Tribolium castaneum: one gene and its partner. Each later gene encodes a partner of the first gene's protein in a complex. Links are inferred from orthologs where the notes say so. Each region holds a gene or a part of one and is shown on either strand. Other genes may lie near its edges.

Evidence for each region.
Region 2: 7SK snRNA methylphosphate capping enzyme bin3 (region 1) and Larp7 share a complex: the UniProt entries of both Homo sapiens proteins name them as parts of the 7SK RNP complex. The link is inferred for Tribolium castaneum from reciprocal best matches to the Homo sapiens genes MEPCE and LARP7.

What each region holds. Positions count from the first base shown.
Region 1 is NC_087395.1:19,350,946-19,355,510, forward strand, and holds the start of 7SK snRNA methylphosphate capping enzyme bin3, read right to left. Parts: upstream 2,968-4,565; 5' UTR 2,813-2,967; intron 1-2,812. UniProt on the Homo sapiens protein: S-adenosyl-L-methionine-dependent methyltransferase that adds a methylphosphate cap at the 5'-end of 7SK snRNA (7SK RNA), leading to stabilize it.
Region 2 is NC_087394.1:30,501,813-30,506,340, reverse strand, and holds the start of Larp7 (la-related protein 7), read left to right. Parts: upstream 1-1,530; 5' UTR 1,531-1,611; coding exon 1,612-1,786; intron 1,787-1,847; coding exon 1,848-2,685; intron 2,686-2,739; coding exon 2,740-2,962; intron 2,963-3,019; coding exon 3,020-3,298; 3' UTR 3,299-3,517; coding exon of another isoform or gene 3,518-3,793; 3' UTR 3,794-3,843; coding exon of another isoform or gene 3,844-4,215; 3' UTR 4,216-4,528. Other genes in the region: Gar1 (H/ACA ribonucleoprotein complex subunit 1), read right to left, coding at 3,518-3,793, 3,844-4,215. UniProt on the Homo sapiens protein: RNA-binding protein that specifically binds distinct small nuclear RNA (snRNAs) and regulates their processing and function.

The DNA of each region.
Region 1 (4,565 bases):
AAAAATATACAATATTTATTCAACATAATAAAATTGTTTTTGATTATCAGTATGTATTATAAACCCTAAGCCATGTCAACTTTTATGCAACGATTCAAGTTAATTTAAATTTAACTAAATTAATTAACTTATAAGGAAATGTAAAGGTAAAGGTGTTTCAAGGCAAAGATTCTTCTTAGTTTTTTTTAAATGTTGTCTAGTAGGTATTTCGTCTTTTGCAATTATTTAAAACCTTCTTCCTAATAAGACAATATTATTACTTAAGTTCTAGCTGTAAAGACAAATTAGTTAGAAAAAAATGGCCATTTTACATTTTTTTGTAATTTTGCAGTAAGCGAAGGGTTACACCGTTGTTTTTACCAACACCATGTATAAATATTTTACCCAAAAAAAATCTATCGTAATATTTCATTTATTTCAACCACTTGCAAGCAATTTAATTATTATCTCTTAAAATCAACTGAAAACTTAATTTAATTTATTTTTTTCAGAATTTTTCTACAATTCCTTAAGCAATTATAGGCCGGTTTATAGAAAACTTCATTAATTTCTAATTCGTTGTTAAAACTTAACAACGCGAATAAACTAATCACAGGCGAATAGACTAATCACATTGGTTCAATTTGGTCACGTGATCTGTTAATCAGTGAAATTAATGACGCTTCTATAAACCGGTCCTAAAATTTATGAATTATTAATTATTATTAACTGTTATTTTTTGTGTCATCTGAAAACAAGCAATACTTAAATGTTGTCCTGTGATAAAAATCCATAAAAAATGTCGCTAGCCCCAAAAATAATAAATAAAGTTATAAATTCAAAATTTAAATAAACGTAATTTTAGGGCTACCAAAATTTATTTTATAAGAATTTTTGCTCGAAAACATTTAGACATCGTTGTTTTAGAATAACACTAAGGGTCGGTTTATAGAAAGCTTTATTAAAATATAATTCTTTGGGCGCATTTACCAGGTTTATAGAAAGCTCAATTAAAGTTAACTGCCTTGTTAAAAGTTAACAACGCGAATGGACCAACCAAATTGCTTTAATTTGGTCATGTGATCAGTTAATCACGCATTTAATTGTGGATTAAAATAATGACGATTCCATAAACCAACCCCATTTTTTTAATTTCATTATATTAATACAAATTTAATAAATTAACTTAACGGTAATTCAAAATTACCGGACAATCTCTCGGGTGCGGATAAAGGACATCAAAGAGAATTAAAAATTCCTATGACAAAAATTGTTTTAGCCTTTTTCCACGAGCTATAACTACTCAAAGTAGAATTTTTCAGTTAAGTTTTTGGTGATTCAGATTACATGTTTTTTGACGTTTTGCGTAAACGACAAAAAAATCAAAAATTAATGTCATATGATGTACAAAACAATTAAAAAACTCGCAAATTCGCTAATAAATAAAATTCGACATCATAGGAAACAAAAGAGCAAAAATCGATACACCTGCTAAAGAAAACAAATTAAAAAATATATAAAAAAATGACTTCTTAGAAAAAATATTTAACTTCATTTTTGTCCTTAATTGAATGTCTTTTATCACCATACGAGAGTTTGTCCGACACTTTTGAATCACCTTGTAAAGAAGAGTAAAAAAATTTGGAAAAATTTCACATACATAGCAAAAAACTTAATAGGCCGGTTTATAGAAAGCTCCCTTAAATTTTAATTCGTTGTTAAAAGTTAACAACGTGAATAGACCAATCATTTGTTCACGTGATCAGTTGATCACGCATTTAATTGCGAATTAGATTATTGACGCTTCTATAAACCGTCACTATGTATTTAACAGTGAATACTGAATGCGGTGCGACCATTAGTTTCTGAGAATAGTGAAACATACTTTTAGCAGACTCACCCCGTATATACTCAACTATTTCTTGGTTTCGGCACGGTTTGAAGCTTGGCTATATTTTCAATATGCAAAATGTCAGTTGTAACAAGATCTAACGTGTTGGCAACGAAGTAATCATATATTATATGCCTGGATTTTTTATCAATGAAATATGTAAAAATAAATAACCCACACGCAATATCAACGATAAAAGATTCTTATTACAAAAAAAGTAACAACAAAACTGCCATTATTCATGCAAACATGCATTTTTGTCAAACAGCCAAATTACAAATTAATTACAAATATCTGGGTGTAATGTAAGTATATTGACAGAAGATAGCGATTAAATTCGACTTAGGTGACTTGATGATAGACATTTTATAAATACTCTGTATTCTTGTACAAGCCGTTGCGTGTATTCTGATTTTTCGGTCGCACTTCGGTTACAGTTGTCTAAGATCAAGGATTTGACTATTTCTAATTTAATCCGTCAACACATTAAATATTTATGACCAATCTAAATGCACCAATAACTGCAATAAATTATTCTTATCGTAATCGGTATAATACACAACACCTCAAATAAATCAGATAATTAATTACCATCGATTAAATTAATTAAACTAAAAATGTGACGTTAAATTCCGGCCGGAGCGTATAATAAACGTCCGGATTCCCGCAATTTGATAACAAACCCGCGAAAGCAGTGTTCAATTAGGAACCTTCCCACTGAGCAAACTCCCGACTAAATAACCCTCTCCGAAGTTCACCTCAGCGGTGGCCCTTCTAAATTTACGAAAATTTCGAAAAAGCCCGGCACCCCAAGTTCCCGCAAAAAATCGGCACTGCGCACGCGCACACCGGAACAAACATGTATGCCACTGCGGAGATCGACGTTGGCTATCGTTTTGGGCGAAAACTCCTCACAGATTACATAAATGTCAAAAAATTTACCTTCAACGTGTCCGGCGTGGCTTCAGCTTTCGTTTGATGCCCTTTGAGGGCCACTTTTCCCTTAGGTTCCGCTGAAAAACGGCCGAAAAAGAGACTTCACTTTGCAACGCACCGTCTGAACGACTACAAATCGTTGTGCTTGTAAACTAGACTCCATTTTAATATCAGTGCCGGAGTTTGCCGAAGCGGAGCCGATGAGGGACGATGGGCGATTTAGCGAGGAGTTGAAAAGTGTTATGTTCCTAATTATGTAATTTTCGGGTAATTGGGGAGGTAACCGAAAGGTATTGCGGATGATTGCGTTTTTTCGACGTTCTAAATTCGCGACCTAATTAACCGGAATTGATTATTTGAAAATGTGTCGATACGGTCCTGGAGTTTTATTGGCGCAAATGATCATAAATTCGAACCACTTATAATTATTGGGAAATAATTAGTTTTTCCTGCTGAAGGAGTGGCTGAATTCACAATTGGAAACATTCTTGAAAAGTTTTGTTTATAGTCTGTTGTAACACCTGCTTCGAATGCACTTCGTAAATATTTTTGGACAATATATTTGTATTTTATTTTTGGATGACGTGCCAAAATTGCTTGTCTTCCGTTGTACAAAGTGTGTTATTTATTAGTCATATTTATAGGATCTCGATGTGATGTTTACCTTATTACTCCAATGCGAAAATAGATATTTAAGTTTGAATGCAGCTTTATAGTTTATGAAACCATCTTCTGTATCTTTTCGATCGGACTTTTTATGCTTTATCTAGTAGTAATTTTTATTTGCAAAATTATGACATGTTAAAGGTGAAAATGGCAAATAGTCTTAAAAAATTTGGTTTGTATCTTTAGGTATACTAGAAACATAAATAATTGTCGACCTTGAAATAAATTTTTATCAGGTTATTAGTTTTTAGACGTTTTACGAGCGGTAACTGGACAACTGGCGAAATATCTATAACCACAAAGTCAGTTTTTCTTTTCATAATTTTATCTCTTTCAAGAAATATACAGGCTGCTCCAAAACTGGTGCACCAGCTCACTGGTAAAATGTTGGAAAGCATGTGTAGATCATATGAAAAATCTTGAAAAAATTCCTAGTCATATTCAAAAAAATATGAAGCTACAAACTTAGTTTACTGACTTCTTCAGTTTTCATTATTTTTTAATGTTTCTATGTTTCACACTAAGTAATCGTTCCCCAACGTAATGAATAATTATTTTAAAAATTACTATCTGACTTTAGCAGTTCCTTGGATTTAAAAAAATAAAATTTATCCAAAAATCACAATTTGTAGATGTGCCAACATTGGGATTTCCTATGAAACCACTTCAAAAGTTATTCATTTTTATTGTTGATCGGGATCTATTGCGATCTCGATTGTTAGACAACGTTGCCACAATCATTTCTTTAAAGTTTGTTATTTACCAATTAAAAAAAAATATTTTTACCTTTTTATGAAAGCATTTCTCTACCGCGTAGCATTGAGTTGGTGCGGCTGTTGTTGAGCACCCGGTACAAGGTGTTAAAATAATAATGTAAGATATTTAAGGAGGTGATATGGTATGGACTAAACTAAACAAAAAGGTCTTTTCTAATAGAACATACACTTTTGACAGCTTTTTCAAGGGTGCACAAAATGCTGCTTGGCAATGTTTCATAAATTGTTTCAAAAGGTGTTCAAATACTTTCAAAATTTGGAACATGTTTTTAAGAACAAAATCTTATCTTTGAATCAGACGAGTGGTTTGGTTAATA
Region 2 (4,528 bases), on another chromosome or scaffold:
GTAAGTAGGTATAAATTTTTTACAATAAATTCTTTATGAATAATTTTTAATCAAATAGAAAAACTTTCATAATGAAAAATTTGTGTAATTGAATAGACAATTTTTACATTTTTATAAAATGAGTGTATTTACCTCATTTTTAAAAAGAAATCGGAAAAAAATTGACAAAAAGATAAATAATAATCTATAAGTAGGTATTCAGGTTGTATGATGATTGAACGTGCTTATAATTATTGTAACATTATCCACTTGCCTATCGTCTGCTAAAACTTCATGCAGACGTTAGTTTGAGTGACTTAGATAAAAGACTTAAGCCTAATTTATCTTGATGACTTAAATGCTTGTTATCTACTTGTTAATAAAACAATGACATCAGTAAATCGTTTTACAATGTGAGTACAATTAAGTACACACATAAATGATATGAATAGGGTACAAAGTTTTAATTTAAGTCACTTGACTTTTTTTATTGATAGCTGGTGTATCTAAATACAAAAAGTAGTTATAAACATTTGGATAGGACAAGTTGTAGTTATTCTAACGTTTGTTTTCTTTGTTTGTTTGTTGTTATTTTGTATTTCGTATTATTTTAAACTTTTAACTAGAAAAAACTTATACATTTACGGATCAATATTGTGGATCAATGATTCTTTTAGACCAGAATTAAATTAAAATTGCAAGGACTAACAATTAAAAAAATTAATGTGTTTTTCAAAATATCTTTGCAAATGTACATACTATAACTTTTTATTTTGAATTTGCCTCATTAATTGTGGCCAAAAGCCAAAAGATAAAAACATCTCCAAAAGTACATAGTTAAATAATAAATAAGCACGAAAAAACATCGGCAAAGATACTATGAGTTAGTTATGATAAATGTTTTTTTTAAATGACTGTTGTAATTTAATCTGATGAATAATTTTACTTATGGTTTCATAAAATTTAAACCTATTGTAAGATTGCTCAAGTTGGTGGCTTATATGTTGCTAAGGCGATAACATCAGTACTTATACGTGCTGATGTTTAAATTTCACAATCCATAAGGCAAACAATATAAGTATGTCAGTGATTTAAGTAACTTAATGTAATAAACAACTTACTTTTATCATTTTATCGGTGACTTTATAGTTCGTTTCTAAGAAAGATGAAATCAAGGTGAGTATTCAGTTTCACATAATGGATTATTTGAAACGATTTGAAGTACTATTCAAATTCATGGTAAAACTTAATTAAATTAGTTAATAAAGTATAAAAGTTTTTTTTTCATAATCTAAACTAAATACATAGAGTTATTCACTTAAGACTTCACGCCTGATTAGGTAAAAAGTGCAGCACACAATGCACTAGGAGTAGCATGGGTGTAATTGATACAACTAAACATAATTATTTTTTGAATAAGAGCTATCTCCTATGAATAAGAGTAAGCGGCGTATAATTTAAAAAGTAAATGATTTTTTTTGCATTCTAAAAACATTTTTTTTAATTAGGCAACCAAATTTACCTCCAACAAATATTTTTTTTCTATGGTTGGCGGCAGTTTCTTTTTCAATTTCATTTCCAAACGCTAAGTTAGGTTATAATTTTCATTTTTACTTCTGCAAAGTATTGAAAATGGAAAATGAAACGAAAGAAAATGCAAATGCACACGACGATTCAATACTTAAAAAAGGTCGCCATCGAAAAAAGCAACTCTACAATTCCATTTTGCAGCAAATGGAATTTTATTTTAGCGACTCTAACCTCACCAAAGATAGATTTCTATCTCAATTAATAAAGGAGAATCCTTGTAAGTGACTATATGATTATTTTATGAGTAGTTGTAGGTAAATACCAAGCACTTTTTTCAGTTGTCGACCTGAACGTATTTTTGAAATTTAACAAAATTACTAAACTCACAACCAGCATAGATGATATCCAAAAAGCTGTACAAAAGTCGCAGTTAATCGAATTATCAGAAGATCGTAGTAGAATTCGTCGTACAAAACCGGTTAAAGAAAAGGCTAACGTTGATGATTGTACGATTTATGTAGAACGCCTAAAATCCGATGCAACTCATGAATGGTTGAACTCTGTTTTTTCTGAATTTGGAAATGTGGTCTACGTTTCTATACCAAAATACAAAAACAATAGTGCCATAAAGGGTTTTGCTTTTGTCGAATTCGAGAAAGAAAAGGAAGCGCAAAATGCTTTAAATTACTTTGAAAGCATTGGCTGCAAAATGCCGTCAAATACAGAACCAGAAACTCTTTGTAGTATTAAAACATTTGAAGAAAGTAATGAACAATCTGAGGCTTCCTCTAAAAATTCTACACTGAAGCCAAAATCTGGAGAAGACGAAAAGGCAACAAAAAAGCGAAAACTTGAAGACAATAGTGAGAATAGCGAAAAACTAGATAGTGAACACTGTGAGAGTAAAGCGGAGGAAAAAATAAGAAAACGAAAACTTGAAGAAAGTGAATCCGGCGAAAGTGAAGAAAAAGGGAAAAAAATGAAAGTCGATGATAGTAAGCACACTGAAGAAAATGATGAACACAGTGAAAGTGACGAAAAAGAAAAAAATTCAAAACATGATACTGGAGACGTTTCTGAGTCGGACGATGCCGAAAATAAGAAAAAGAAGAAATTGAAAAAAGAACACAAAAAGAAAAATTACATAAAAGAATTGGGCCTCCAAGTGTTATCAAAGTAAGTGAAGCAGCTAGAATTATCTTTAATCATTGATAAATAATTGTTTTTTAGAAAAGAGTGGAAAAAGATGCGAAATCGGTATCTAGATTTACAAAAGAAGAAAATGAAAGAGTTTAAAAAACACCTTCTAAAAGCCAAGTTTAATCAACCAAATTATGAACAAAAGTCGAAAACTCCCACTGCTAAGACTGAACTCAACAAAGAGGATTTTACCAAGGGACTTATTGTAAAAATAAAGCTAACCGAAGCTACCCTGGATATAAAGAAACTTAAGGTAAATTTTCTAAACTAAATATCTTGGCCAATTTATTTGCGATAAATCGTTTTTCAGAATGAAATTAAAACTTCTTCAGCTGATATATTGTACGTAGATATTCCAAACCCTGGCAGTGAGAACATTTATGTAAGATTTAACACCACGGAGGGCGCTAAAAATTTTTGCTCCCAAGAATCTTTTGGCAAAAAAGAGGTATTAACAGGACAGGAAGAATCTTCATATTGGGAAAAAATTAAAACAGATCGTGAGGATAAACTAAACAAAGCAAAAAAGAAACAACGTGGTAGAGACAAACTGTTAAAGAAAGCAAAACATACAAAATTTGATGATTAAGGTTTTGTTTTCAGTTTAAATTTTTTTTAAATATTCTTTATTTATTAACTTTGTCAAACAGTGGCACCATCCATTTCGTGTTGTTTGCTGACATATTCACACAAAAATTTGAAATAACCTGTAGTTCTTATTTTTCATAGATCTATTTTCGTAATAAAAATTTCATACACTTAATGGAACAATTGCCAACCACAAAAAACATTGGTCACAATTTCAAGTCTACCACCTCTTGCCGCCGCCGCCCCCTCCTCGGCCGCCGCCAAATCCACCCCCACGACCACCTCTAAAACCGCCGCCGCCCCCACGACCCCCACGTCCACCGAAATTGCCGCCTCCTCTTCCTCCAAACCCGCCGCGATTGCCGCCCCCTCTGCCACCACCGCGGCCTCCGCCACCCCCACGACCTCCCCCTCGACCGCCTCGTTTCTGGACTGAGCCTGGGGGCTTCGGTAGGAATCTTTGAAGTGGTAACAACTTCGCAGGATCAATAAACAACTGCAAAACATTATTTTAGATGTGTGAATGGTAAGTGAATTTTTTTATACCTTTTGATTCTTTTTAAAACTGCTAGCTTTTATGTCGTCTCCGAGACGTATCGAAACGTAATAATCTCTGAGATTTCCAAAAATTTCATCAATTTTTCCGATTTGTTCCTTATTTTCGAGGTAAATCGGCGCATTGAAAAATGGAACGTCTTCTATTTCTACTTTAGCAACTAAATCATCTTGTACGGTGTAATCGAAGTAGCCCAAAGGAATCACTCTCTCAGGAGGGCCTTGATCATAGTTTCGCCCGCCGCCCCCGCGACCACCAAAACTATTTCTCCCGCCGCCTCCACCAAAATTTCGAGCGCCGCCGCCCCCACGACCACGACCTCCAAAGCCGCCACCACCGCCGCCTCGGCCACGAAAAGACATTTTGTTTCACTCCTCAAATAATTAGAAACGTAAAAGAGCGTCCCTTTGTAAACACGTGGTTTACACTAAATTTTCAGTGCGGCAACATAACCTCTCCTGCAAACGTAACCTCCAACTGTAAACACTCCTAAACTTTGGGCCCTCTAGGAGTTTTCTGAGTTACCATCAAAACAGAAAACTGTAAAGTTAGAAGATGAAGCTATAACTTCAAACCACATGTGTATAATTAGTTGCATACTTTGAGGGAAAAAAACATTTTATTTTTAAATTAACCTTGAACAAAATATTGCTACGCCCCACACTTCCCATTGGT